Linked DNA regions of Caenorhabditis elegans. The protein of the gene in region 2 purifies or fractionates together with the protein of the main gene of each other region. This does not show direct contact. Each region holds a gene or a part of one and is shown on either strand. Other genes may lie near its edges. The genes, in order: rnh-2, tyms-1 and mam-3.

The links.
Region 1: the proteins of tyms-1 (region 2) and rnh-2 fractionate together in Caenorhabditis elegans (co-fractionation; one large-scale study listed by BioGRID). This does not show direct contact.
Region 3: the proteins of tyms-1 (region 2) and mam-3 fractionate together in Caenorhabditis elegans (co-fractionation; one large-scale study listed by BioGRID). This does not show direct contact.

What each region holds. Positions count from the first base shown.
Region 1 is NC_003280.10:8,513,224-8,523,200, forward strand, and holds rnh-2 (Ribonuclease H2 subunit A), read left to right. Parts: upstream 1-3,926; 5' UTR 3,927-3,929; coding exon 3,930-4,023; intron 4,024-4,084; coding exon 4,085-4,392; intron 4,393-4,441; coding exon 4,442-4,670; intron 4,671-4,715; coding exon 4,716-4,978; 3' UTR 4,979-5,184; downstream 5,185-9,977. Other genes in the region: ctg-2 (CRAL-TRIO domain-containing protein), read left to right, coding at 1,831-2,017, 2,127-2,412, 2,638-2,764, 2,814-3,070, 3,119-3,488; T13H5.8 (Lipid scramblase CLPTM1L), read left to right, coding at 5,287-5,418, 5,462-5,599, 5,648-5,976, 6,021-6,407, 6,449-6,881, 6,931-7,007, 7,054-7,258; cht-2 (GH18 domain-containing protein), read left to right, coding at 7,707-7,764, 8,064-8,155, 8,196-8,303, 8,362-8,459, 8,501-8,875, 8,927-8,996, 9,048-9,596, 9,638-9,977. UniProt on the Caenorhabditis elegans protein: Catalytic subunit of RNase HII, an endonuclease that specifically degrades the RNA of RNA:DNA hybrids. Participates in DNA replication, possibly by mediating the removal of lagging-strand Okazaki fragment RNA primers during DNA replication.
Region 2 is NC_003279.8:5,131,257-5,141,460, forward strand, and holds tyms-1 (Thymidylate synthase), read left to right. Parts: upstream 1-6,993; 5' UTR 6,994-7,013; coding exon 7,014-7,215; intron 7,216-7,259; coding exon 7,260-7,711; intron 7,712-7,767; coding exon 7,768-8,052; 3' UTR 8,053-8,126; downstream 8,127-10,204. Other genes in the region: pfkb-1.1 (6-phosphofructo-2-kinase domain-containing protein), read left to right, coding at 284-341, 648-773, 828-930, 987-1,053, 1,111-1,254, 1,303-1,563, 2,071-2,664; Phosphatidylinositol-3,5-bisphosphate 3-phosphatase mtm-1, read left to right, coding at 3,511-3,550, 3,619-3,690, 3,734-3,840, 3,896-4,114, 4,455-4,625, 4,671-4,852, 5,021-5,505, 5,944-6,146 and 3 more.
Region 3 is NC_003282.8:13,440,772-13,451,072, reverse strand, and holds the start of mam-3 (MAM domain-containing protein), read left to right. Parts: upstream 1-5,697; 5' UTR 5,698-5,806; coding exon 5,807-5,948; intron 5,949-6,667; coding exon 6,668-6,795; intron 6,796-7,226; exon of another isoform or gene 7,227-7,328; intron 7,329-7,571; exon of another isoform or gene 7,572-7,689; intron 7,690-7,757; coding exon 7,758-7,924; intron 7,925-8,312; coding exon 8,313-8,575; intron 8,576-8,814; coding exon 8,815-8,996; intron 8,997-10,069; exon of another isoform or gene 10,070-10,171; intron 10,172-10,301. Other genes in the region: uso-1 (Uso1_p115_head domain-containing protein), read left to right, coding at 654-906, 1,412-1,794, 2,771-2,991, 3,036-3,781, 4,205-4,348, 4,898-5,041.

The DNA.
Region 1 (9,977 bases), on a different chromosome or scaffold from region 2:
TTGTAAATTTCCAAAGTAAGGAATTTTCCCTGTTGATGTGATCGTTGTTTCGCTTATATTTAGCGAAAAAAAATACTGTGGAATAATATGGCAGATTCTCCATGCATCACTTGTTTTTGAAATGCATAGAATTAACCTAAAACTCTGAATTTTCCAACTTATCTCAAAATTGATAGAAATAGTCAGGAATTTTGGTTGTATAGTTGTTTTTTGGTAGTAAATTTCCTTTCCGTATTGTTATCTTTCAAAATTACAGAAAATTAAATTATCAAAAATCAAACAGCTTAATTTTAAAGAAGATCAGTCCAAATGCTGATCATTAAATAAAATGTAAAATTGTTACTTCCAAGACAATTTGGAGCAGTTTATGATAATTTTGAAGAAAATGTAGATGTTGAAATTATAATATAGTGAAATATAAAACATCTGATATCCTCGTGTTTTCAATGTCCCATCTTAATTATCAATTTTGATTTAAAAAATTATTGGCTTAAATTTCAGAAACAAAGTGACAAATTTCCAAAAAAAAGGTTTCGAAACATGTTCATAACTTATTCTCCGTCTCTTCCAGGCATACTTTCCTCTCTTATCGTTACTATAATATTATTCTTTCTCTCCCCCTCATTCTCTCTCGAAACATTTCTCTTTGGTAGGTGGAGACCGCCCGTTCTCAAATGGCTTCTTTTTGTCTATGTCTCTCTTTATCCTGTAATATTCAAATTTTGGTTGTCAAGGATTCTCCATTTTGAAGAATAAGCCGATTTTCTATTCGGATTTCAAAAAAAAGTTTGGTTTTCTTTTTTCTTTTTTCTTTTTTCTTTTTTGTTTTTCGTGAAACGGGGCCGAGCAAAGGCTAACTATGCATTTTAAGAAGACATTTCAACGAATAAAATTTATTTGAAAATTTAAATGGGATTATTCTCTCGAATGAAATCCAAGGAAAATGATGGTAAATTGCTTTCCATTTTTATTTTGATAATTGTACTATGTCCTTCATCATCAGTTTTTCGTCGTACAAGTTATCAATTATATGGAAAACTGTACGATGCCAACTAAAAACAAATGGTGGCATTTTTTTGATAAATGTTTTTCTTCAAATGCTTAGTATAAGTTTACCGTTGACTTTGTAACACTTTTTAAAAAGTTAATAATTAAAAAAAGATCAATGCAGAAGGACTCCAGCTAAACTACAACATTTTAGATTTTCATAAACCCGTTTTGGCAAACTGCCAAAATTTTGAACAATTTTGACTTGTTGAGAAATTAAGAGATTAAGCATTGTTGCAAGTTCAAAAATTAATACATAATTTTAGTAAAAAAAAAGTGCACATGTGCAAAAATTAATTTAAAAATGCGAGCTCAACTTATATATATATATATACAAAATTCTAGTTTCAAAATTTTGAGATTTGAAATGTACCTTTGATTCTCAAAAATAAAATTGGAATTTTAGTTTCAAATTAATGAAGATGAAGTCTTTCAAAATAGTGCATAGTTTATCTGCAGAGAATGAAAACATTATACTTTTAGTAGTTTTTTCACTGAAACATCTTATCACCAAATGAATTGTGTGCTCATTTAGTACACACAACGATTTTTTCGTGAAACTGTGCATTATGCTCTGTGTCAATTGATTCTTCTTAAAATGAAATCAAACGGCTAAAAATGTAGTCATGTGTTATTCGATATTTGTATCCTCTTTGATTTTCGATAAAGTTCGGTTCGCCCCGGGCGCCGTGATAAAATTTGTCATTTTACATATTCTCATTGATAACAATTATATATTTCTAACTTTTTATTATTCTCTCACACCAGCTTCTAGCAAAAAAAATGAAATTGACCAAAAAACGATTGTCAGGTGAAAGGATGTCTACAAGTACTGGAGAAATTACTGAAAGTGATCGTAAGCTTCTCGATGAACTCAGAAAAAGGATTCATAAAGAATTAGAATTAGTGAAAGAATATGATGATGATTTTTCACTTATGAGATGGTTAATCGGATGGGATCGAAAAATTGGTAAGACTTTTTGGAATATTGTTTAAACTGTAAATGTTTTTTTTATGAATTTTATGATGGTTTTGAAATATTTCGAAAAAATTGTAAAATGAAATAGATATATTTTCAGATGTTGTGGTTCCAAAAATCAAGTTCTCACTTCGTGCCATTCATGCACTTGGACTTGACCAAGAAGATCTCTCAACACTGGAAAAAGTGGCACAAAAATGTGATGATTGTAGTGTTCCACTTCGATACCTTCCTGGATCTTTAATCGGATTGGATCATGAGAATAATGTGGTCTCTCTTCAAATGATTGGACATCTTGACGCAGCCGGTCTCATGCCAGCCACAAGAAATTCGGATTTATACAGAATGAGAATTGCTGAAAGTGAAGGAGTCATGCAAATTATCAGGTATGCGTAGTTCAAGATAACGTCACTCTAGTCTGTGTGGCAAAAGTGATTGGAATACTGTTTACTCTGTGACTTATATGATAGCGGAAGAGAAAAATTGAAAAATAGAACACTGATATCGAATACCCGAAAATTATATTTTGTCCAGAGATTAAGAAACATTAGTTGCGAAATAAGATGTAGACTACTGTAATAATAATGAAAAATTAGAACTTATACTTTCAGAAAAATGGAAAAAGAGCAAGGAAAACCATTGGGAACATCTGTCATTTTCGATCTTGACGGACTTTCAATGGTTCAAATTGATTTGGCTGCTTTGAAGGTTGTGACTACCATGCTCTCGCAGCTTCAGGTACATTTTCCAGATTAGTCGTATTAAAAATTGAATTGTTTAATTTCAGGAGATGTTTCCTGATGTAATTCGTAAGATATTTATTGTTAATACACCAACATTTATTCAAGTACTCTGGAGTATGATCTCGCCATGTCTTGCCAAGCAAACTCAACAGAAAGTCAAGATTTTGGGAAACGATTGGAAACAACATTTGAAGGAGAATATTGGAGAAGAAGTGCTATTTGAAAGATGGGGTGGAACTAGAAAGGCTGAAACTGAATATGGAAATGTTCGAATGGGTGGCAAGATTCCTGCTGAATTGAAGTAATTTTGCAGAGGAAAATTTATTTGAAAAATAATCCTGTTTTTTAGGTATGACCCGGCCAACGATCTTCCAGCTGAGAAGCTTACCAAACTCAACGTTTCTGCTCGTTCGACAACATTTGTTCCCATTACTCTCGAAGGAAATGTACCAGGAAGAAAACTTTATTGGTGGTGGAGGCTGGAGAATAACGATATCAATTTCTCGATTCTTCGAGCAGCAGAAGGTGAAGAGAAAGTTGCAGAGCATGACGATGACTACATGGTGCATCCAAAATTCAAACTTCAAACAGACTTCGTTCCGGAAGATGGAGAAGTGTGTGCTGCGGAGCCTGGAGTATATAAATTCGTATTTGATAATACTCATAGCAAATTAAGATCTAAAACTGTCAAATATTTTATTGAGGTGCGGAATCCTTGAGGAACCGGTACACACTAGAAAATCGTATTTATTGTAATGTATACTTTCATAACCTATTAAAACGTTTATTTTATCCATCAGCTTATTTGTTGTATTTGCTTTTTAATTTCTGATTTTTCAAAATCATTCGAACGACGTCATAAAGTGCTAGTGATAGCTAATTATACGTTTGAAAGTTTTTCTGTGCATATAAATATGTGGGGTACAGTAATATTGTCCAAGTGTTGTTCGCGACCGAATTTTCCTAGTTATTGTCAATAGAGCGTATCTGCATACCATAAAGAAAAAGCTCGGCCGCATCACAATTTGAATTTTATTTCCACGATTTTTATTTATTTTATGTCATTATTCACTTCAATGTCTTTTTTTCTTGAATTAACCTTCAAAATGTATTATATGAATAGATATTTATTTTTTTTACAATATTTGTTCTCTCAGAGAATGTCACTGAAGTGTGAAACTGAACGAAGCAAAACGTGGAACAATTTCGGGAATGGTATTCCGTGCGTTTTGGGCATTGATGAAGCTGGAAGAGGTTTGTGGAAAATAATAGTCAATAATTGATAATTCAGTAATCTAATATATCCAAATTTTAGGTCCAGTGCTCGGTCCTATGGTCTACGCAGCAGCGATTTCCCCACTTGATCAAAATGTAGAGTTGAAAAATCTTGGTGTCGACGATTCAAAAGCGTTGAACGAGGCGAAACGTGAAGAAATCTTCAACAAGATGAATGAAGACGAAGACATCCAACAGATCATAGCATATGCTCTCAGATGTCTTTCCCCTGAATTGATCAGTTGCTCAATGCTCAAAAGACAAAAGTATTCGTTGAATGAAGTATCCCATGAAGCTGCGATCACTTTGATTCGAGATGCGCTAGCTTGCAATGTGAATGTAGTGGAGGTTTCCTGAAAATATATACAAGCTAAATATAAGGTATACTATTTTTCAGATCAAAGTGGACACAGTTGGCCCGAAAGCAACTTATCAAGCCAAACTCGAGAAATTATTTCCCGGAATTTCAATTTGCGTGACTGAAAAAGCTGATTCACTTTTTCCTATCGTCAGTGCAGCTTCCATTGCCGCCAAAGTCACGAGAGACTCGCGTTTGAGAAATTGGCAATTTAGAGAGAAAAATATTAAAGTTCCAGATGCTGGATATGGAAGTGGATATCCTGGAGGTCTTTTTATTTTATGAATAGTATATTTTATTATTTTTCTTTCAGATCCAAACACAAAGAAGTTCCTTCAATTAAGTGTGGAACCAGTTTTCGGCTTCTGCTCACTCGTTCGATCATCCTGGAAAACAGCCAGTACTATCGTTGAGAAGAGATGTGTTCCAGGCAGTTGGGAAGATGACGAGGAAGAAGGGAAATCACAAAGCAAAAGAATGACTTCATGGATGGTTCCGAAAAATGAAACAGAAGTTGTACCAAAAAGAAATGTGTACTTCAAGGAAAGACATATGAGCAATATTCTAACTTTTTGAATTATAACGAAATACTTACATTTTTCAATATCACCATTCATTTTTATTTTACCATTTTCTTTAACGCGTTTCTGATCTCCTCATATCTCCCTCTAAATATTTCATCACTTTGGTTGTATACCTCAATTTACTTGTAGTATATTCATTTTCTCTTACTTTTTCTGGTGAACTTTTCTTAGATACTCATTGAATAAATTTTGAAATTCTCCGATTTGTATTTAATGAAAGTATCATGAAATTCCGTTTTCACCGGATATTAATATTTGGATGAATCTCTCAAAAATTCTTTCAAAAAGTGATTTTTCCAGATGGAGATAAACCTGACAAAAATTGTGAGCACACTGTTCCTCAGTTTCATGTTCTACAACTTTTTTCAACTTTATAAGCTTTTCACTCCGGAGTTATGTACAGATCAGGATTCTGACGAATTGTGCTATTCGGTAAATTTTTCGATTGAGGCAAAACTATAATAACATTTTATAGCCAATTGTTCAACCCAACCACGAAGGATTGTACGATTTACTACAGCTTCGAGTCTATTTTTCAACGAAAAGAGATGCATTGGAGACACTTATCACGACTGTTGAAAACTTGCAAGTTGCCGATGCCTTCCAGAAAGATGTAATTTTCTAAAATATAGAATAACCTCATTTTATATTTTATTTTCAGCTTCAAGTGAAGATTCCGTCTTCGGTTGCTAAAGATGGCTACCTATATGCACATACAATTTTACTTCCACATAAATTTGATGGTCGTAATCCGATGCAAGCTTCATGGAAAGTGCACGTAGCGGCTCCTATGGTAGTTTTTCAAGAGCCAGTGGCCAAGACTTTCCAACTCTTAGGAGATGAAGAAGTCAAAGAAAAAGTCGATGAAAAACCGAAAAAGTCCAAGTCAAAAGTTGTTGAACTGGCCGCACATTTCCGAACAATTCTGCCGGTACGAATTGTATCTGAACCGAACCGATACGTAAAGACCAAAGTCAGTGGAGAATTGGCGTAAGTTCAATAAATATTTTATGAAAATATATGTTCGTTTTCAGTGACTTTCTGACGATTCAACGGCAGGATAAAAAAGAAGGATACCTTCCAATCATGTTTGTGGATGAAATGAGTATGAGAAGCAAGCATCTCTATGAACTCGCCGACTTCCAAAAGTCTGTAAACTTGACCATTAACTACGAACCAACAAGCGTTGCCAAGCTGCTTCTGCTCACCTCAACAGCTCGTTCGACCCACCAGCTCATGAAACATGGATTTAAAGATAAGGATGTTGATGAGCTTCGTGGACTTTTCACTGAAACCTCAATTGTTCTTTTGATGGTTACTTTCTTCGTATCTACATTACATTTGCTATTTGATGCATTAGCTTTCAAAAATGATATTTCATTTTGGAAGGGAAGAAAATCAATGGTCGGACTATCTACAAAGTATGAATAGCACATGTTTCCATTTTATGATTATTTTTCAGAACTCTCCTATGGCGATGCTTCTCTCAAACAATAATTTTCTTCTATCTTTTCGATCAACAAACATCATTACTTGTTCTGATTCCTGCTGGAATTGCTACAGTAATCGAATACTGGAAAGTCACCATAGCCTACAAAGTTACAATAACTTGGAAAGGAATCAAATTCGGAAAACACTCAACAGAAGAAGACGAAACTGATTCCATCGACTCGCAAGCCATGAAGTACCTGTCGATTCTTTTAGTTCCACTTGTTATTGGTGGAGCTATCTATAGCTTACTTTACGTTCCTCATAAATCATGGCGATCATGGATTCTGGAAACATCTGCTAATGGAGTTTATGCTTTTGGCTTCTTGTTTATGTTACCACAATTGTTTGTCAATTACAAGTTAAAGAGTGTGGCACATCTTCCATGGAGAGCTTTCATGTACAAGGTAACTTAAAATTACAAAATATTCATATCGAGATCTATCTAATTTACAGGCATTCAATACGTTTATTGATGACTTGTTTGCATTTGTCATAACCATGCCAACTGCTCATCGTATGGCCTGCTTCAGGTAAGAAACTTTCAGAGAGGAAGATATTATAATAATTTTGTATCAGAGACGATATTGTGTTCCTTGTATATCTCTACCAAAGATGGCTGTATCCAGTTGATTACACCAGAATCAACGAATTCGGAGAAGGTGGTGATGAGAAAGAAAAGAAAAACAAAGAGAAGCTGGAGCCTGAAGTTGAAGAGAAGAGCAATACCACAGAACAAGATGAATCGGGAACCATCAAGCGGAGAACTGCTAGAAAAACCTAAAATAGTCTCAGATTTTAAAGTATTAAAACCATCTAGACTTTAACTGTAACCGTAACTTATACAGTCTTTTTAAAACCAAAATTTCTACAAACTTGTTTTTATTTTAATAATTATAATGTGTTTATTTATTTGTTTGCCATTACTGGTTCAATTTGTTGTTCGTGTGATTTCTGCTGAATTGGAAGCCTCGCTTCCCTCAATAAACGAAGTAGATCATGATTCTCGCGGGACAACCAATAAGAAAGAGCCGTCCTTTTTCGTAAATGGACACGAAACGGACTTGTTTGAAGGCGCATTGCTTTTTGCTTTTCACACCTTATTTGAGCGCGTGTAAATACAAGAAATGTGAGAAATAGTGTGAGAACTTGTATAAACGCAGGAATACAGTGTAGAGATTGAAAAGCTCCTTGAGAAATGGAACTTGACTTCATTTTTGTCCGCGTAGCCAATGAGATTCGTGATGTGGATGTGGCTGTTCGTTGTGTGGATTACTGTACTTTTTGGAGGTATGCAAATTTATCGAACTTCCAGATATTTGCAGATTTATTATAAACTTCATTTCGAAGTTTAGATAAAAATTGGTAACAAATTAAAACAGTTATGTATATTTCATACTTATTTTGGTATTAACGGGTTGTCGGAGTCTTCATCGTAGCCAATAATGTAATAGCAAATGGTAGAAATGTGACGTCACAGGCGTACTTATATTTTAATTAGGTACACAACTCTGAAACATAAAACAGTATCTAAAAATTAGTTTTAATCGCTAAGGTCACAAAGAAATTTGATATTTAAAAAATTTCAGTGTCCAATGGTGGAATCCTAGACCGATCTTGTGGAAGACGAAGAGTTGGTTATATTACATCGTGGGGCAAACATCCATTTAGAGATGATCAGGTATTTTTATAAACTTTTCAGTTAACACTTTCAAATTAAGGCTGAAAAGCTGACACACTTAGTTTTCGCCTTCTTCGTCGTCGATTCAGATGGAAGTGTCAAGTTGGAAGGAGATGCTGCAAAAGCAAGATTGGAACATGTTAAAGAGGTATTGTCAAAAACTATTTAAAAGTTATAGGTTTTTAAAATGATATTTGATATCTTAGGTTGCATCTCGTCATCCAGATCTCAAGCTTTTGTACGCTGTTGGAGGCTGGGAAAACTCTCAATATTTTTCCGTTTTAACTGCAGATCACTCTAGAAGGTGTGTCAAAGGCGTGATCTAGAAAACACATAAAATTTCAGATCAATTTTAATCTCGAACTTTGTCAAAGTTATTAAAGAGTACGGTTTTGACGGTGTTGATATTGACTGGGAATATCCCGTAACAGGCGGTGCTGTTGAGGGTACTCCAGCTGATCGAAGGAATTATGTAAACTTGATGAGAGAACTTCGAAATGAGTTGAGAGATTTGGAATCCGAAACAGGAAAGTCGTATCTCATATCGTTCGCTGGAGCAGCAGGACATTGGGTCTTGAAACCAGGATACGATCTACAACAATTGATGAAATATTGTGATTTTGTGAATGTTATGAGTTATGATTATTTTGGAGCATGGGCTTCGAAATGGGGTGCATACACTGGACCCCCAGCACCATTACAGTTTGCTATGCCGAAAAAGTGAGCTAAAATTAGTAAGGGGAAGCGAAGAGCAACGAAATAATTTTTTAGATTCTCTGGAAGAATGAACGTACATGCCACGATGAAAGACTACAGTTGCCAAATAAAAGCAACTGATAAGGTAAGAAACATTTTGGTATTTGAGTTACCGTAACCGTTAATCAACTTCCAGATAAATATGGGTGTCCCATTCTATGGTCGTTTCTGGAAGAATGTGGGTGATGCTGTTGACTCAACAGATGATATGTGGAGAACTGCTACGGCAACTAATTCAGAAGGCACAAAATTTGAAGGTGGAGATGTTCAATGGAGAGATCTGCACGAGAAATTTGATACTACAAAAACCAAGTTTCATTCTGGATCCAAAACCCCATTCATTTGGCTTTCTGAACAAAAAACCTTTGTTGGATATGAAAATGCTGAAAGTCTCAAACATAAAGTTGATTATATAGTTGAAAATAATATTGGAGGAGTTATGATATGGGCAATTGACTTTGATGATGATCAAGGTACCCTTCTGAACTCTGCTGCAGCTGAATCTATTTGTACCACATCAACAAAGTCATTCAACTACAAGTGTTCTCCAGTAGACGACAAAAGATGGTGGACATATGATGATAATGAGGAATTGGCTGGAATGTGTGGAAAATCGTCTCCATTGATTGATGGATATTATCCCGTTTGTGATCCAGATGATCCAGGTCATGCTTGTTGTGGAAAGGTTAGTACCACCGTGAAAGGCTTCATAATACCGTTTTGCAGTATGGCTATTGCGGTTCCGGTGCAGAATTCTGTTCTTGTCCTGAATGTATTGACTATGGTGCAGATCCAAATTTAATTTTGAAAGAACCAGTGAAACCAAGCCAAAAGATCACATGGTACACATCGGATGCTGGAGAAGGGAAACGTGGACGATGTGGTCGAGATGTTCCACCTTTAGAAGGAGAAGCGCCAACTTGTAATCCAGATGATGCTAATGCTCATTGTTGTAGTAATGGAGGTTACTGTGGAAATTCAAAGGAACATTGTGAATGTAATGGATGTATTGATTTTGCAAAACAGAGAGATTTCAAATATAAACCATTAGAATGGTGGACATTTT
Region 2 (10,204 bases):
GAAAGGGATGGTTGAACACAGAAAATGAATTGTTGGTTATTTTTCTTTTCGTTTTCGGTTTCCTACTTTATTGTTATGGAAGATTGTGTCTACTTTCTTCCCATTCATAACACGAACCTTCTTTCTTTCTTTCTCTCTATCATTGCCTGTTTTTCTTTCTCTCCGGCGCAATAATATTATTATTGATTTCTTAATATTTGATTAAAATGATAAGCCTTTGTCTTCGGAATCATTTTGATAAGAGACGATATCATTTCGGCTAGAAATGTTGCAGGAGAACGAGATGCCTGGGCCAGCCGGCGTACCGCAGCGCAAAATGACGTATTTCGTGCCGAAGAGTGGTCAGTTTACTTTAAAAGAGGACTTACCATTTTTTTTTGCTCTTTTAGACTCGAAATGTGCCCAAATGAGCGAAATTTAAAAAGATAGTTTATTTCACATAATTTCAATTAAAATTGATTTCCGTCCGTTTCGACATGGAAAATTTGGCAAAATTGAAGATTTTAGCTAAAATCAAATAGCCCATTTTTTTTCGAAATTTTGAGCCGTTTTGGACGCATTTTGAGTTGAAAAAGTGCATAAAATTGATCGATTAGCCCTATTTTATTTTCATTCCACATTGTCTTCTCAAAAATCTCAATTTTCAGACAACTCAAACGAGCAGGTTCGAGTTCCAAACGTCATCGCACTTGTCGGACTGCCGGCACGTGGCAAAACATACATCTCACACAAACTGTGTCGTTACCTCAACTGGATTGGAATTAAGACCAAAGGTTGGTCCTGATTCGATTATATGTACGACATGAAACAAAAAATCAAAATTACAGCATTCAATGTCGGCGAGTACAGAAGAAGAGCGTGTAATTTGGAAGAAGAAGGCGAAAATGAGTTCTTCTCGCCAAACAACGCCAGAGGTCAAAAGATCCGAGAGTGAGATTTTACGAAACTATGAAGAAAAAAAATTAAAAAAATTCCTGAATTTTCAGTGAGTGCGCGAAATTAGCCATTGAAGATATGGGAAGGTACTTGGATAACAAGGAAGGAGAAGTGGCGGTGAGTTACAAAGGAAAAAATTTCAAAAAAATATATAGACATAAACTTTTTATTCAGATTCTCGACGCGACAAATACTACAAGAGACCGACGAAAGCTTCTGATGGAGTTTTGCAGAAATATGATGCACGAGCCACCATTCCGTGTCTTCTTTGTGGAATCTGTTTGTGATGATCCTGATATTATCAACTCGAATATCACGGTAACCTTTAGATCTTCAAAATAATCACCTTAACCCGCATATTTTCAGGAAGTGAAAATCAATTCGCCAGATTATAAAGGAATAATGTCTCAAGAGGAAGCAAAAGAAGACTTTTTGAAGCGTATCGAGAACTATCGAATGCAATATGAGCCACTTGATGAGGATCATGATGAAGAGCTGAGCTATATCAAAGTTATCAATGCCGGAAAATCCTTCTATGTTCACAATGTTAATGGTCATGTGCAGAGTCGTGTTGTGTATTTCCTGATGAATATTCATCTTCTTCCAAGAAGTATTTATTTGTCAAGAGTAAGTTTAACAAAAAAACCGAAAAAATTTTGCGCTAAAAATAGGTAACAGGTCTCGACGCGAAAATTTTTATTAAATGCCAAAAAGTGTGCGTCTTTACAAACTACTGTAGTTTCATTTTTTTTGCTGCCGAGTTTTCATTGAGTTTCAGTTTTCTCACGATTTGCTGTAAAAACGTTTTTATTTTTTATTTCACTTTTTGATAAATTAATATTTTTTTACCAAACAAGCTAAGAGAGCCCGTAAAAAAACTTGAATTTTAACAAATCGTGAAAAAAAAAGAAAATCAATGAAAATTCCGCAGCAACGAGAGTTTGAAATTACAGTATTCTTTAAAGGTGATGCCTTTTTTCATTTAACAAAAATGTCGTGTCAAGACCGGACACCGGTTTTTTTGGCACAAAATTCCGTTTCTGGGATATAATTCATTCAATTAACAGCACTGAGAATTATCAAGTATTTTTAAACTTTTATAGTTTAAAAATCCCTTTAAAAAATTTATTACAGCATGGAGAAAGTGAGTACAACAGAATTGGTCGTCTTGGTGGTGATTCCCCACTCAGTGAAAATGGTTTAAATTACGCTGGAAAACTTCGCGAATACTTCGAAAAAGAAGATTTGGACGATTTCCGTGTTTGGTCATCTCAAAAGATTCGTGCCGCCCAGACAGCTTCTCATCTGAAAGATCTCGCTGGTCATACAGAGTTCTGGAAATGTCTTGATGAAATCGATGCCGGAATATGTGAAGGATTAACTTATGAAGATTTCGAGGCTCGTTATCCGAAACAATTCGCTGAAAGAGATAAGGATAAATATCACTACCGTTATCCAAGTGGGGAATCATATGAAGATCTGGTTGCTCGTCTGGAGCCAGTTATCATGGAGCTTGAGAGACAATCCAATGTCCTTGTCATTTCTCATCAAGCAGTTCTCCGTTGCATTCTTGCCTATTTTACTAACAAAAATCGAGATGATCTTCCATATCTGAAGGTTCCATTGCATACAGTCATCAAGCTCACACCAAAAGCCTATTCCTGTGAGATTGAACTTTTCAAATTCGACATCGAAGCAGTCAATACTTACAGAGAGAAGCCACAATAGGAAGTATTTATTCTTTATCTAGCCAATTATCTATGCCAAATGTACATTTATTTTTTCATACAAGTTCCCATTTTTATGTCGGGCGTTTTTTTTGAGATTGCATTTTCCCTGTTTTTGAACAATTGCCTTTGAATTTAAATACGTTGTCGTTTATGTGAGAGTTATAAAGATTACATCGATTTCAATTTTATGGACTGATTGCAATATTTCTCGCTGTGTCATTTTCTACAATAATCTATTTTTAATGTATTAAACGGTCAGGAGCCACATTAAAAATTTAAAAGAAAACCAAACAAGAACGCGTAACTGAGTTGTTGTTATTTTAAAAGAAAAATCAATTCATATAAAAATTAATCCTTAAAGGCGCAGAGATTTATTCAGATGGGTCCCGACGCGCAAAAAAGTTTATGGTAATTGTGTTTGAATTTTTGCGGCTGCTTCCTCGTTTATTTTTCTTGCATTTTTCAATTTATTAAGGGAATTTTGTCGTTGTTTAAAACCATTGTATGAAAAAAACACAGGAAATCCCACATTTTTAATGGAAGTAGTTTATTTGTACTTTGAAAACTGATTTTAAACATATTCTGACAGAAAAGTGAAAAGAAAACGACATCTGAATAAATCCATGCGGTTTTAAAAAGGATTGCCAAAATATTGTGAAGTTACGATAAAAACAAAGCTGAAGCAAGTTGTATTTATTTTCTGCACATACCTGCGTCTCTTAGTGGCCTTCTTCTCTCTCTCTCTCTCTCTTTCCCAATAATCGTTCCACTATTCGGCTTTCAAACATTCTCATACACTTTCAAAAATCAATTTACAGGAAAATTGATCGAAATGTCAATATCAATGGATGACAGAGGGAACAATAGTGGAGAAGTTGGAGAATGTGAGTCATCACGAACTATTTCGTTATGAAATTTCGTTATTTGAATTCAATTTATTTTATCATTTCAGTTGCCAGTTCATCAATGATACAAGAATCAATAGATCTCAAATTGTTAGCCGCAGAAAGTCTTATTTGGACAGGTTGGAATTGATTTTTTAACAATTATAATGTGAGGAATTACAGAGAAAAATGTGACATACTTCGGACCACTTGGAAAATTTCCAGGTAAAATCGTAATTACTAGGTATCGAATGGTTTTTCTCGTTGGTGATGGTGGAAAAATGTATGAGGTTTGTGATTAAAATTTTAAAATTATATTTTACAAATATAAACAAAAAATTTCAGCAATGGAAGCTCGATATTCCACTCGGACAAGTGTCTCGGATAGAAAAAGTTGGTAGAAAGACGACGAGTGTTGCCAAACGAGGCGATGATAATTATGGATTCACAATTTATTGTAAAGATTATCGAGTTTATCGATTTACATGTAATCCAGCATCGAGTGATAGAAAAAATGTTTGCGATTCGTTGAATAGATACGCTTTTCCGCTATCGCATAATTTGGTGAGTTTTTTTTTTAATTTTAATAGGGGGCTTTTGGCTCTAGAACTATTGGAAATGAAAAAAAATTCTGATATTTTTTTTTAATTTACGAAAAAATAAAATTAATTATTCATTTATTGGTTAGCAAAAAAATTAAAGTTAAAAAAACACGGTATCGTAATTTCACAAGTTTTCGCCTTAGAAAGCCGCACGGATTTCTTCAAATGGGTCTCGGCACGCAAAAAGTTTATTGTGTAGATTTTAAACAATCAATGATTTATTAAAAACTTACTTGACAACCAAGAAATAGACAGCCTAACTTGAAAAACAACATTATTCAACCAAAAAAGGAAATTTTCAGCCAATGTTCGCCTCTGTACATGCAGCAGAAACACCTAGACTTATGAAAGATGGTTGGAAAATTTATTCAGCTGAAAAAGAATATGAACGCCTTGGAATCCCGAATTCACGTCTTTGGAAAGAAGTGGACATTAATAAAGACTATAAATTTAGCGAAACTTATCCAAGAACTGTAGGTTAATGATGGTTTTCTTTTTTAAAAATAATTTTATTTCAGTTTGTAATTCCGACAGTATCTTGGGAGGAAGGAAAACCATTTGTAAAGAAGCTCGGCGAGTTTAGAAGCAAAGAAAGAATTCCCGTGTTGAGTTGGATTAATCAGACAACTTTAGCTTCAATTTCACGATGCTCACAGCCAATGACTGGAATTTCTGGAAAAAGAAGTGCTGAGGACGAGCGGTAGGTTTTATTTTTATTTTTAATGATAATAAAAAATAATCGGAATATTAATATTCTAATATGCTGAAATGTCACAAAAGAAAAACGAAAAAAAATATTTGGAAAATCGTTTATTAAGATATATTTTTTAAAGCATTCAATTTTTCAACAAAAAATTATATTTTTCAGACATCTCACGAACATTATGAATGCCAATGCTAATTGTCGTGAACTTCTGATCCTTGATGCAAGACCAGCAGTCAATGCAAAACTTAATAAGGCAAAAGGTGGAGGTTATGAAGAGAATTATGTCAATGCTCCTCTAACATTCCTCAATATTCACAATATTCACGTTGTTCGGGATTCATTAAAACGATTGCTAGCCGCGCTGATTCCACGTGTCGACGAGAAGGGATACTACAAAGCGTTAGACGAATCGAAATGGCTCAATCATGTTCAGAGCATTTTGGAAGGAGCAGTAAAAGCTGTCTTCAATGTTGACACTGAAAAACAATCAGTATTGATTCATTGTTCTGATGGTTGGGATCGAACTGCACAGCTGACGTCGTTGGCAATGATTCAACTCGACTCCTATTACCGTACAATTGAAGGATTTATCGTTTTGATTGAGAAGGAATGGTGTAGCTTTGGTCATAAATTTGGAGAGAGAATCGGTTCGTTTTTGATAGATTTTAAAAATCATGCAATTAAAGTTGCAGTAGCGTGAATGAGGATTTTGCTTTTTTTAAAAATCCATTCAGAAAATTTTTAAAAAAATCAAAAAAATTGCGAAAAAAAATCCAACTTAAAAAACTAGATTTTTCAGTTCTGGCGAAGTTCCCAGTTCTCATCTTGGGGAAAATTCAAACAGGAAACTTACTAGGGAACACGATAACTATAAGTTATACTTATAGTTATCGTGTTCCCTAGTTAGTCAAAATTGATAAATCGAATTTTTTAAAATTTGAATTTTTCATCCGTTCGCAATTTTATTTCGTTTTTCTGTTGTGGTATTTCTGAATTTGAGAAAAATTTGGAATTTTTTGAAGCTAACAACTATAAAAAATATTATTTGAGAACCAAAAATCTTTGATTTTATACTTTCCGTTCAGGTCACGGCGACGATAACTACAGCGATGGAGAACGATCTCCCGTATTTGTTCAATTCTGTGACTGCCTATGGCAAATTATGCGACAATTTCCATGGGCATTTGAATTTACACAAGAACTGCTAATTTGTATGCTCGATGAGCTCTACGCTTGCAGATATGGAACATTTTTGTACAATTCCGAAAAAATCCGGCTGAAGGATAAGGTTGTTTTCATGAAGATTTTTTCAATTTTTTTTTTTTCAACTTTTCAGAAATGCGATGAAACGACGATATCGTTCTGGTCCTATGTTTTGGAAAATAAAAAGAAATTCAGAAATCCAATGTTTAAGCATGGAAGTTAGTTTTCTGTTAAACTAATATTAAATCTCAAAATTTTAACTTTCAGAATCCAATAAAGTGATAAACGTAAACCCATCTCTCTGCGGTTTACATGTATGGATTGATTACTACGCCCGATCGAATCCATATGTAGTTACTCCAAATCATGAGGTAAACAGCAGTTCCGCTAGAAAATGATAATGAATTAATTAGAAGTTTTAGGATGTTCAACAGCCAGGCGCACAGTTTGTCGACGAGAAAAAGCAATTGTTGGATGAGATTATGGCTCTTGACGACGCTGCTCAAAAATTGACCGCCTAGTTATTTTAATTATGCTCAGTTATTCAATTTTGTTGTTAGACTTTTAAAAATTTAATTTAGAACTTTTCACTGTGATTTCATTTTGCTTTCTTTATGTGCATTGTACAATATTATATGAAAATAATTCATCTTTAAATATTATTTAATTAAATACAACAGCTGTTAAAATTAAATACAACAGCATAATAAAGAATAGACTGTTAACAGTCTATTCTTTATTATTCAAATTCAAATTTGCCGCCATTATCGTTGCTGACGTTTTTCCAGGGAGCGCGCGAAACACATGCAATTTTCAAATAGGAAAAACAATTGATCCAGTATTTTTCCTTCCTTGCTTTGATTTTATTGCTTCAGACTTATTATTCCGATCTTAAAAGTCAAATTAATTGATTAAATTCTTTAAAAAAGTAATTCATTTTCAGATGGAAGTCATGAACAAAGAAAATATCATCGCCGATGCGCCTTCTGATGTCGTAAAAACCGTTCAACAGCAAGTTCACTTGAATCAAGATGAATATAAATATTTGAAGCAAGTTGAGCAAATTTTGAGAGAAGGAACACGAAGAGATGATCGCACTGGGACTGGAACTATTTCGATTTTTGGAATGCAATCGAAATACTGTTTGAGAAATGGTAACGCTTTCGATTTTCCATTTTAAAAATTAATACTTTTATAGGCACAATTCCGTTGCTTACCACGAAACGTGTCTATTGGAAGGGAGTTCTCGAGGAATTACTTTGGTTTATTTCTGGATCGACCGATGGAAAGCTTTTGATGGAGAAAAATGTGAAGATTTGGGAGAAAAACGGCGATCGCGCGTTCCTTGACAATCTCGGATTTACGTCTCGTGAAGAAGGAGATCTTGGACCAGTTTATGGATTTCAATGGAGACACTTTGGGGCGAAATATGTGGATTGTCATACAGATTACTCTGGACAAGGTGTTGATCAGTTGGCTGAAGTTATCCGACAGATTAAGGAGCAACCGGATAGTCGAAGAATCATTATGTCCGCGTGGAATCCGTCGGATCTTGGACAAATGGTTCTGCCACCGTGTCACACAATGTGTCAGTTCTATGTGGACAATGGAGAGCTCTCGTGTCAGCTTTACCAACGAAGTGGAGATATGGTGAGCAAAAATTTCAATGTAGTAAATTACATATTTTACTAGAAGTTAAATTTCAGGGTCTCGGAGTTCCATTCAACCTTGCCAGCTACGGCCTTCTCACCCACATGATTGCAAAAGTGTGTGGATTGAAACCAGGAACCCTTGTTCATACTCTCGGAGATGCTCATGTCTACTCAAATCATGTGGATGCTCTCAAAATTCAACTGGACCGTGAGCCATACGCTTTCCCCAAAATTCGATTCACGCGAGACGTGGCCTCAATCGATGATTTCACTTCTGATATGATTGCCCTGGATGACTACAAGTGTCATCCAAAAATCCCAATGGATATGGCTGTTTGATTTATTTTGATGTAACATTTTAACACTCATCTAATTGTTTTCAGTTTTATGAAAATAAACATTGCAAGGCTTCTATATACACTACGCATATCAAAAACATTACAATAGAATTTTTCCACATTATTCAAGAGAAAAAAAAACTTGTCAATAGGTTAGAGCCCCAACAGGAAATCGAATCAGTCATATTTTTTTCTATATGCGTGTTGTTTCTTTCGCTCTCCCACTCCTTCTTTTTCAATTTCATCTTCCATCTACAAAACCGATTTGTTCAATCATCTTTTCGCTCATCATAACCGAGCCAACTCACAGCTCATCCATCAACTATTTGTGCTGTCCTGCCAATGTCTGTCAGTTTGTCAGGTGTCCAAGTGCTAAAATTTGTCCTTGTGGTTTTGAAGAATGTTGTGAAAAAAAGTCGAATTTAATGAATCACACAACTTTGCGAGTGATACAAGTTTTTCGTTGACCGTATACCCGGCGCGTGTTTTCTCAAAAACAAGTGGTCCAACTTTTTGTAAAGTCAGATGACAGTGACAACAGAATATTCTAATATTTTTTGGACCAAAGTATTTTTTCCTTTCTTTGGCCGTGTACATAAGACAACCTCGTCTACCGTACTCTCCAAGTAGACTACAGTACTCGCGACTGCGCCTTTACAGCTTTTTTCATGTGAACCTACTGATTTTTAAAACGAAGTTCTTTTATACAATGATCGAAATTTCCTATGCGGACGCGGCCTAGATTTGAATTTCGAAATTCAAGTGAATTTTGCTGTCTCCAAAAATTCAAAAAGAGTCGAGTAAAAGGAGGAGGGGAACAATGAAAAGAAGCCAAAAATGAACAAAAAAGTGAAAAAGAGGGGGGGAGAGGGAGACATTCTGTCTCCTGGAAAAGATCGAGCGTCCCTCTTTTCTTTTCTTTTCTCAAAGTCATTTTCAAGAGAGGAAGAAGAGCTCTTTTCTCGTATTCTCTCAATATTTCACAAACTATGCGTCGTTTCTCCTGTGCTCCTCAGTCATCCTTGGAGCACACAACGGGGGGCTCAACTCTTCTCGGCACCACCGGAGCGGGGACTAGAGAGGGAGAGAGACATGGGGACTATGATAAAAAAGAGTCAGAGAGAGAGATGGAGAGAAACTCGGGAAACGAGAGATTCAGTCAACAATCAACATGGAGAGAAAGACGGAGAGAAAGAGATGGAACGTAAAGCAAGGGACCCACACAACTATGCAAGAAGGAGAAGAAGAAAGAAGTACTTCAATATTCCGTCTTCTCTCTATCTTGCTGCGTTTCTTTGTTTATCTCAAACACTAACACCCTCTCTCGTTTTTTTCCATTCCTTGTTTTGACTAATTAAGTTGTTTTTTTAATTCTGATCCGCATTTGCAGTGCAGAAGTCTGCAAAACTTTTTTTGAAACCCTTAGCTTATAGGTTTTGTAGTTGCAAAGTTGCAGAGGATCTACCTACCTAACTGGTTTTGTTCATAGAGATACTCTCGATTTTCAATATTAATTATGAGAATTTAGTTTATAGTTTTGGAAGTCGACCAAACATTTTTGGAACCAATTCTTAATTGGCAAAACTACGATGAAAAATTACAAGAAAAACTGCTAAGAAATTCTTGAGTAATTTTCTTTTTTCAAACTTTATAAAAAAACAAAAAAAATAAAAAAGTGAAGTTGTTTCAGTGGATATTTTATTGGAATATTCTTATGAATGTTCAACATGACCAAATATCGTAATAAAACACTCCAACTTTTGCTGAAAAAAATTTTAAAAATTTCAGCCAAATTTTTGTATGAAACTCATAGAACAATTTTGGTTGATTTCCACAATTATAATAGGTCAAAACGGAAAAATATAGTTTGAATATATATTGAAAAATAATTTTTAGAATTACTGAAAAGGTATACTGATATTTAGCCATTTTATGCTAATAAAGTGATTTCAACCAAAACTAGATTATTTTTTTTACAAATCTACGAGTTGATTCGAACTTCAATTTTTCAATTTTAGTCGATTCCCGCGCTTTCATCAAGTTCCCTAAATTTCAAAGAGATTTACAAGTACTTTCTTACTCACACTTCTTACTGTTGTGTTACCTAAAATCAGACGTCTAAACTGAAGTTCAAAGTACAAAAATTGCGAAAA
Region 3 (10,301 bases), on a different chromosome or scaffold from region 2:
AGTATTTTTTACGAAAAAACTCAAAATTACTCCTTTTTTGCGATTTTCGCGCCAACACGTGTTTTCAGCTCGACCATTCGGTGTAATTTGTGCAAACACCGTGACGCGCAAATGCAGACATTTTTGCACGCGCTGCGGTGAAATTCCTCTTGGGAAATTTAAATATTTTTTCCCGCCTTTTTTTAAAATTTTCGAGGCGTTGGTCGAGCTGAATACACGTGCGCCAAAAAGACGATACTCGGTCTCGACACGACAAATTTATGTTGTCTGCGAAAATGCGTGCGCCTTTAAAGATTTCTGTAATTTTAAACTTTCGAGAATAATTATAATTTGAAATTACAAGAATAATTTGAAATTACAGTACTCTTTAAAGGCGCACACCTTTTTGCATTTAGCAAAAGTTGATCGTGTCGAGACCAAAAGTGGCGGTTTTTCAATTTTTTTTACAAAATCGAAATACGAAAGATTTTCGATTTTTTTCGCTTTTTCCAAAAATATATTAAAATTTTAGTCATTTATCTCCTTTTTAGAAGAAATGTTTATATTTTTCACATCAACATAAACAAAATTAGACAAAAAATCGAATTTTATTGTTACTTTTCTGAATATTTTTTTCGATTTTTTTTTGTAAATTATAAATTCAAATTTTCCAGATTTGTCGCTCGCCTCGGAAAAATCCTGCACACATTTCTCTATGGAAACGAAGAAACTGAAGATATCGAAGTAACTGAATGGGCGAAACAACGGACAGCTAACGTTATTTTCTTGCTTCAAATCATTCGTACACTTGTTAGTCCAGATAACACCAGTGAAAATACCCACGCAGCTCAGAAAGTCTTGAATCAAACGAAAATTCTCGAGGAGCTGTGCAGAGTTCTTCTATCGGAAATTGGAGCATCTGTGGAGGTTTGTGTTCGAAATGGCCCGAAAAGAACAAATTTCATAACGAAACCGGTGTCTCAGCGGCCGGAAATTGACTTTTATTAGATTTATTAGTTGCAATTAAAACTCAAAAAACTAAAACTAAGTTTAATTTTTTTAAAGTGGTTTTACAATACAAAGTGTTAAAACGTATGTTTTTTCTCGTTATTTCATTGATTTAGGTACATTTAAATACCTATTACTTGAAATGTACCTTAATCAACGAAATAACGAGAAAAAACATATGTTTTTACACTTTGTATTGTAAAATTACTTTTTTTTGATCTAAAACTTAGTTTTTTGAGTCAATTTCAACAAAAATAAACTGCAAGAAAATTGGCAAACTTCGAGATTTTCAAAATTTTAAACCGTCATAACTTTTCTTTGAGAAAATTTTAGAATTTCTAATTACGGAATTTGGGACAAATAAAGTACTTAAATCTCTAATTTCGGTACTACTTACCCTTTAAAATTAAAATTTTTTTTTCAGATTCTTACCGAATCAATAATCGTCGTGGCTGAAGCTATTCGTGGAAACTACACAAATCAAGAATTATTCGCGAATACTGTACTTGACAACGGAGAAGATGTTCCACGTACCTCTCTTGTGGTTCTTCTCATCTCAATGACCGCCGAAAAACAGCCGTACAAGCTGCGATGCGCTGTATTCTACTGCTTTTTGTCATATCTTTTTGACAATGAATTCGGAAAAGCAAGAGTAATTGAGACGTTGCTTCCTCAATCTCATAACAGCTCGAGCTCTTTGACTACTGGAGCTCTCATTTTACAAGCAATTTCTTCGGCTGAATCTGTTCAGGCATGGTTCGGATGTGTGACTCTTATGCATTGTCTGTATGATGTTGATCATTTGAGGTGAACACGTATATCTTTTAAAAAGTCGAATTCTCAAAAAAAAATGTTCAAACATTTCCTAATGGCATGTCACATTTAGTGGTTTTCTACGCGTTTTTATGAGAATCTATTATTTAAATACATTTTCAGTCGATAGGTCCAAATTCGGACTGAAAATATACTCAAAGGAAATCTGAGAAATATTTTTAAATGACTTCAAATTTTCTCCTAATTCCGAATATCTATATGAAAAAATTCGAAAAAATTTCTCTTATTTTATATTTCAGCGTGAAATCGCGATTTTCATTTGCGTCCCCATGAGATTCTTCAAAAAGGCCGAATTTTCGAGTCAGAGACGCCGTGTGTCGATTTACGAGATTTGTGTATATTTACGAGAGTTTCAATTTTTATTGGATGCTGATTTCCGTTTTACAACCGGGTTTCCTTCATTTTCGTCGGTTTTAGTTTTTTTTTTGTTGAAAATGTGTTTTTTGAGGTTAATTAAACGTTATATAATCAAAAAACTAACAACATTTTTGATTTTCAGTCAGGAAAAGCATATATTTGGATTTTCCGTCGAGTTGTTACCAGCATTGGAAATTTTGTTAGTATTTTGATAATATATGTTTAATTGACTTTGGAAAACACATTTTCAAAAAAAAACTGGCAAAACTAAAGGAAACTCGTCGAAAAACCTGAAATCATTATCCAATAAAGATTGAAAATCTGGTAAATCGACACATGACGTCTCTGGCGCCAAAATTCGGCGTTTGAAAAGTCTCATTTAGGCGCAATTGAAAATCACGCTTTCAAGCTGAAATATAAAATCAGGGAAATTTTTTTGGAATTGTTCATTCAAATATTCGGAATCAGCGGAAATTTGAAGTAATTTAAAAATATTTTTGAGATTTCGGTACTGCACCTTTAAATTCATAAAAAAAATTAACTATAAGAATTGAATTTCCCAACAAAAAAAATTCACCGTTGTTTTTTTCAGCGAGCAACTTCTTCGAGTAAACCTCACCGTAGTCACAGAGGATCCTCCATTGACACTTTTAAATCATGTCTGCCAACTACTTGTTTCTACTGGAAATCGCCGACCACAGACCAGAGCCGGACTCCTGATGCTCCTGGGAACGTGGCTTCAAAATTGCCCAGCCGCAGTTTCCGATTTTATGGCTAAAGACGAGCATATACAGTATTTGACAACTAATTTAGGTGGGAACGGTTATTCAATTTTAAATAATTTTCAAAAGTTTAAGTGGATGAATGTGGTGAAGGATCGGAGAGTGAGCAGCAGGTTCTACGAGGACTCATGGCTTTTGTTCTACTATCGTGCTTGAAGAATTTACAAAGTAAGGAAGCACGATCATCGATGGAAATATTGATTCAAAGACGTGTTGGAAAGGAATTGATTCTGTCCGCATTGGAGGGACTTTCAAGAACCGAGCAATTTGTTAGAGCAGCACAAAAGCAGCAGCCGACAAATGAGCTTTTCCTCGATTTCCACTTTGTTAAACTTTTCAAATCTCTCGAAGGAACGTTGGCTAAGCAATTGAAACCGAATGGAGAATTTAATGGAACTAGCAATGATAGCATCATTCAATCATATAAAGAACTCATAAAACGGCAAGATGGTGATATTGCCCAATTGAAGCAAGACAATAAGCGAATGAGTCTTGAGATTGAGAAATTAAATGCAGAAGTTCAGAATAAGCAAATGGAACGAGAAGTTGAGAATCTTCGTGTGAGATTAGAAGAATCTGAAGCATTTAAAACTCAAAATGAAGTGCTGAATAGTCAGCTAGTAGAGTCACAGAGACTCACACAACAATGGTATGCAGAAGCCGAACGATACAAGCAATGGGCTCAACAATGGCAAGCCTATCAGTTGGCACAGCTTCCGAATGGTGTAGAGACGGGATTGGCTCAGCTTCAGCAACAAGTCAACGAGTTGGAGCAGCAACTCGGATTTGGATATCAGGCATTCGAACAGCAATCACAAACGGTATGGTAGACAGGAGATTTTATCAGAAAATCGAAAAATCGAAAATTTTCGTTTTTTCGAAAAAAAAATTTGTCGATTTTTCAAAAATTAGCTTAAAATTTTGGTCAGGGTTCTTCTTTTTTTGATGAAAATATTTATTTTTTTTCTCATCAATAAAACAAAAATTTGATTTTGTAAAATCATATTTTGTGGTTAATTTTCGGAAATTTTTTTCGATTTTCCGGAAAATCGAAAAATCGAAAAATGACACAATTGGATCAAAAAACTAAACATTTAAATCTGCGAAAATCAAAAAAAACCAAAAAACAATTCGATGCTTAAATTTATTCGAAAAATTTTTTTTCGGCTTCCGTTTGGTCTAAAATAAAAAAAATAACCAAAAAAAAATAAAATAACCATAAAAATAAAATTTACATATTTCAGATGCTCCACTATACATCAGAGAATGCAAATCTTAAAGATAGACTCGCGAAAACGGAAGCTGCTCTCGCTGAAGCCAATTATAAAATTGAGCAATTGAATTTGAAGCCAATTTCGAATGGAATAGTTGTGGAGCACGAACCACAGGTAGAATTCGAGTGGAATTTTCGAAATTTCAGGAATTTCTAGAAAAAACACTGAAAAAGTATAATTTTATTGGAAAAGATGGAAAATCTTACCAAAATTATCGATTTTTTCATTAAAAAATCGAAAAAATGTGTAAAATTTCAGTTTTTCGAAACCTTGATTTTTTAACAGATTTCTTTTTTTTAAGAAGGAAAAAATATATATATATATAAAAATAGTTATATATTTGAGGTTAATTTGAGCAAAACTTGATAAAATTTCAATTTTTTTTTTGAAAAAAGCTGAAAAAATAATAAAAAATTCTAAAAATATCAAACACTTAAAATATAATTTTTCTATGAAAAAATTAATTATTTCGTTTTTCAAAAAACTACTTTTAAATTTTGGTTCGATTTTTTCTGAAGAAATTATTTTTTGCTACAGATTTTTCATCCACTTTTTCATTTTTTTTTCAATTTTCTCTGGAAAAAAACTAAAATAAAAACGTTTCGATGAGTAGCTTTTGAGCTTTATCTCAGTGAAAATAATTCAAACATTTCAAATTTTCAGGCTGACTCCGAAGAGTTTTCAAAACTGAAACAAGAACAAGAAGAACTTCTGATGCTTCTCGCTGATCAACACAATAAAATGTCAGCCTACCGACGCCTTCTTCGAAACCTAAAACAGCCAGTGACAGATGATGAGGACGAGTAATAAGGCTGTGGGATTACTAAAAATCGGGTTTCTTTTTTGTTTTCTTTGGGGGGTCAATCTTGTCATAGAACATGTAATACTTCCAATCAACTTTTCTTTTTTTAAATCGAATAGGTTTCCTGTATAATATTTAATTTATAACGCATACACCGTACTTTCGCAGGATTTTTTAAGTGTCTTCTTAAAGGCGCACAGGTTTTTTTCAGATATGTTTCGGCTTTCTTGTTTTTTTTTCTCAAACTGATTTAAAACAATTTTTAACTTATGTGATAAATGCAAAGAAAATAAACAAAATTAAATACCATAAAAATTTTTTTGGGCTCGCCGAGACCCATAAAACCGTGCGCCTTTAAGAAGACATCTCAGAGATCTTGTAAATCTACGATATCGTATTCGCCGTGATTTTGCTGGCAAAATATTTTCTTCCTGTTTTTTTTGTATCCCTACCTACTCTTTCCATTTCGTTCAAACCACACTGTCTTCTGTGATACCGAAATTATGTTTTTTTTTTCCTTTCAATTTTATTTATGTAAAACTTAATAGTAAATATGGTCCAAATAAATTATTGATTGATTCCGAAATCCATCATTCTCTCTCTCAGGTTGAATGGGGATTCGGTGAATGATCAAATGATATAACGAACCCGTCTATTCTCCATATCAATAGTGATTCGGAAGCCGGTTCGTTCCTCTCGCCTGCTTCTCCTGGCCCGCGCATCTGCCATTGTTCTTCGCCTGTACACACCCTTTTTGCCTCTCGAAAATAATGATCTGGAAGAAATTTGCACTTTTGCTCATTTTTCTACCATCTCTAGAAGCATGTCATGCTCAATTTCAAAAAGAGCTTCGATATTTAGACTTGTATCTTGGTATTAGGCCAGATAATAATGGAGAGATTCCTGTGGAAGGTTGGTTTTTTGGTTTTTTGAAGGAATTTACTGTTTTTTGCTCCGAACGAAAAAAGTCTAAATTTTCGATTTTTTGGAAAAATTCAATTTTTTTTCAATAATTTATGGCCACATCCCGATTTTTTAAAAATGTTTTTTTCAACATTTTCCAGTTTTTTTTGGATTTACTCTGAATTTTGACGAGATTTTTTTTTCCAAAAATTTAAGCTTTATCGGAAATTTACTTGATTTTGTAGTTCCTTATTAAAGGCGCACGGAATTAAAAGTTCGCGGTAGTTTAATTTTTATTTAAACTTTGAAAACTGATTGTCAACGATTTATTACAGCTGAAAACCATGTGATTTCATTGAAAAAAAATACAATACTACATCCAATGAACAAATAAAACTACCATAAACTTTTTTGCGCGCCGAGGCCCGTCTGAATAATTCCGTGAGCTTTTAATGAAGTACTTCAAAATCTACAGTAGTACAGTAGTAGTAAAATTACGGTATTTTATCCAGATTTCGCTAATATTTCGCTAATTTCTGTAACAAAAGTATGTAACAACAATAAATCAGCCGATTTTTACTTTCATAAAAAATCTGGTTTTAGATTCGTTCTTAAAAATTAGTGATAAATAAGCAATTTTAATGTGAAGTGTTTTTTTGTTTTTAAACAGCTAAAATTATCAAACCACGAGGATCTGCAAAAAAAAACCACAATCACGTGGATTTCAGAGGCCGTTGGATTTGCCACGTATATTGAGTCACCTGATGAACTCAACTGTGACTTTGAGACCGAATGTCTTTGGAGAAATGCGCCGACTGATAAGCTTTTGGATACCAGTGATTGGTGGTATTTTAAGGTTTGTTATTCATGAAAAACTTTCCTTCAAATGTCTTGTGCCATTCTATTCTTTTTTTGGAATATAAAACCTTTTCTGAGTGGGTCTTGTCACGATCTCAGTTATAGATTTCGCTGAATACAAACTTTGAATGTGGTATAATTGTTCAATTAGAAATAAAAATGTATGTGAAATTCCATATCCTACGCTATATGTAGGCCAGGGTATAATATACAATATTTAGCTTTCAGTTTTGAGACGAATAATATGTAAAAGATACCAACTAATTTTGGCAACTAATTGGTTTTATGAACTAGTTTTAACTGAAAGTTTCAAAAAAAAAACATTTCAAAAACTCGATTGAAAGTGGCAACATTTCGAGAATTTATTCAGACAATTCAATTATACAGTTCAACTTTAGAACCATTGGAAAGTTCACCAAAAATTATAGAAAAAATTTGGAACGCTTCACGAATTTGCGTGTCATCCTTGCGCAGGGGCCATGCTAATCTTCTCTGTATTGTTCCAATTTTAGTATATGTTCTCGGAAGAACGAACAGTTAGATTTACATTTCAATTATATAGGGACCATTTACACAGCAGCTGACATATTTGGAGTTATGTAAGACACTATGACTATGCTAGGGAAGTGGAGATGCAAATCGATATTGGTATCGCTATAGAATAGGTGCACAAATTATTGATCTACATCTACATTTGGTATAGTGTCTTACATAACTCCAAATATGCCAGCTGCATTGTTAATGGTCCCTATATAATTGAAATGTAAATCTAAATGTTTGTTCTTCCGAGAACATATACTAAAATTGGAACAATACAGAGAAGATTAGCATGGCCCCTGCGCAAGGATGACACGCAAATTCGTGAAGCGTTCCAAATTTTTTGACGATTTTGTTAGACAAATCTATAAATTCTATACTTACAATTTTTCAAAACTTTTTTAAAAAATTAAACAATTTCAGAAAAATGACGAGAAAACTTTCCCAGTTCAAATCCAGCCCGGAAATCCTGTAATTCCAAAAGGCGAACATTTTATAATTGCTGGAAATACGACGAAAAATCCGAATGGAGCAGTGTTGAGCAGTGCTCCAATTGCTTGTCAAAAAGGATTTGCCAACTTGACTTTCAGGTATTGTCAAAGATAATTTTAAGAATTTTAAGCACAAAGTTGGAGGGCCTAAATTTTTTTTGAAATAAAATGTGTTTGCTCTTCTTTGAAAGCTTAGATCTCTACTGTCTTTGCATTTTTTTTAATATGTAAAAAACGAACTAAGCGTTCTTCTATGATTCAATAGTTTGAAAAATGCTGATATAAAAAAAAAAAATCGAAATTTTTAGTAATCTTTATATGACGCACAATTTCTCGTTTTTACTACAAAAATATTGCTATTTAATATTTTCATATTAGATTTGAGTTGCCTGAGTAAAAGCTCACAAAGTATGCGATCGGCAAAATACTGTGCTCTAACTAACATAGATTCCAAAATAAAATTATAATCCCAGTTATATCCTTCTAGCTTCTGGCTATACAACAATGCTCAAGTGGAAGTTATCATCCTTCGAGCAATGAATCGTAGACGTCATCTTCAAGTCTTGCTCAGACCAAAAATGAAGTGTGATTTCTTGGGAGCCGCCAATGAGGAATGTCGTGTCGAGATTCCGCCGATTAAGGAACCGTTCAGAATTGGAATTCGAGCATTTGATCTCAAAGATAATACTGTTGGAAGTTTGGCAATCATTGATCATATCAGATATCACGGAAAGATTTGCCAGCAATCACGTAAGTTTTAAAGTTATTCGAGATATGAAGCAGTCAAAATCAAATTGGCGCGCAAAAAAAACGATATTTTTAATCCTTTTTTAAAAGATTTTGTTCTGTAAATTTTTCAAAATAAAACTAGATTTGTTAGAGAAGTTTTAAACTTTCACTGAACATCCAGAAAAATCCAATGCCTCACTCTTCATAATCTAACAAAATATCTCAATCACTCCCATTTTACCTAAAATTAATTATTCCAGCATTCCCATCATCATTCTCATCTCTTCGTATTCCTCCATATGATAATAGTCCACTTCAAAGAATGTCTGATTTGAGTTGTGAACGCCCGCTACGATCCTGTCGATGGGGAAATATGGCCAAATCTCAATTAAGTGAATGGAGAGTTGGTAGATCAATTGATCGATGGGTTGATATGTTTGAGGTTTGTTTTAATTAAATCTTGGAAATAAGATAATTTTTTAAACAACATTTTGAAGCATTGATATCTTCAAGCGAAATATGGGATCGAACCACTAAAGTTAATTACCGTATTTCCTCTATTATGGGGTTATTCAAGTAGTGTCGGAAAATTAAAAAGTGTAGAAAAATTACGTCACACATGTATTCAAGTAAATAAAAACATGTATTTAAATACATTTGTGACGTCACAAATGTATTTAAATACATTTCGCTACATTACTTGAATAACCCCATTAGTACTTCACCCCATTGTTCAACTTTCACAGCTTATATCTCAGTCATCGTTTGTCCTATTAAAAAATTGTCAACTAACAAAATATTTTTTAACTTTATTTCTATCATTTCGTAGTTAATAATACATTGATATCTTCAAAATGAACCGAGTTCAAAGTTAAGTAGTGGGGTGCAATACTAATAGAGGGAATACGGTAAAAACAAATTTTCGTCAGTATGTCAATAATTTAAAACCCATCCAAAGTGCAGAAAAGTGATGAAAAATGAGTTGTATGAAGCATTAGACAGGTATTCATCTCTATGAAGTGGCCTTTTTAACTGTTTGTTAAAAAATAATTGGGCAATCCACACGTTTTGAAAATTTCAACAGCTGAATACTCTCGGCCGACAAACTTTCTTCATACGTTCTTGGAATATTTCCAAAACTTCTACTAATAAAACTTTTGACTTCTTCTATTTAAATGTTTTGCAACAATATAGGCTTATTTGGCAGCTTCAGAAGTTTCAATCCGGAGACTTGCCAAAGTTGGCTGAAACAATGAACTCAAAAAATTTGGAATTTTGAAATTAAGAAGGATTATAAAAATTGTTCTATGTATAAATACACCTTTTCTTGAAACTTAATAATGGGGTTATTCAAGTAGTGTCGGAAAATTAAAAAGTGTAGAAAAATTACACGTCACAACCTTATTCAAGTATATAAAAACATGTATTTAAATACATTTTGCTACATTACTTGAATAACCCCATAAGTTGATGATAAAAATGGGCATCAAACAGGGATATCTAGTAAAATCGTCAAAAAATTTGGAACGCTTCACGAATTTGCGTGTCATCCTTGCGCAGGGGCCATGCTAATCTTCTCTGTATTGTTCCAATTTTAGTATATGTTCTCGGAAGAACAAACATCTAGATTTACATTTCAATTATATAGGGACCATTTACACAGCAGCTGACATATTTGGAGTTATGTAAGACACTATGACTATGCTAGGGAAGTGGAGATGCAAATCGATATTGGTATCGCTATAGC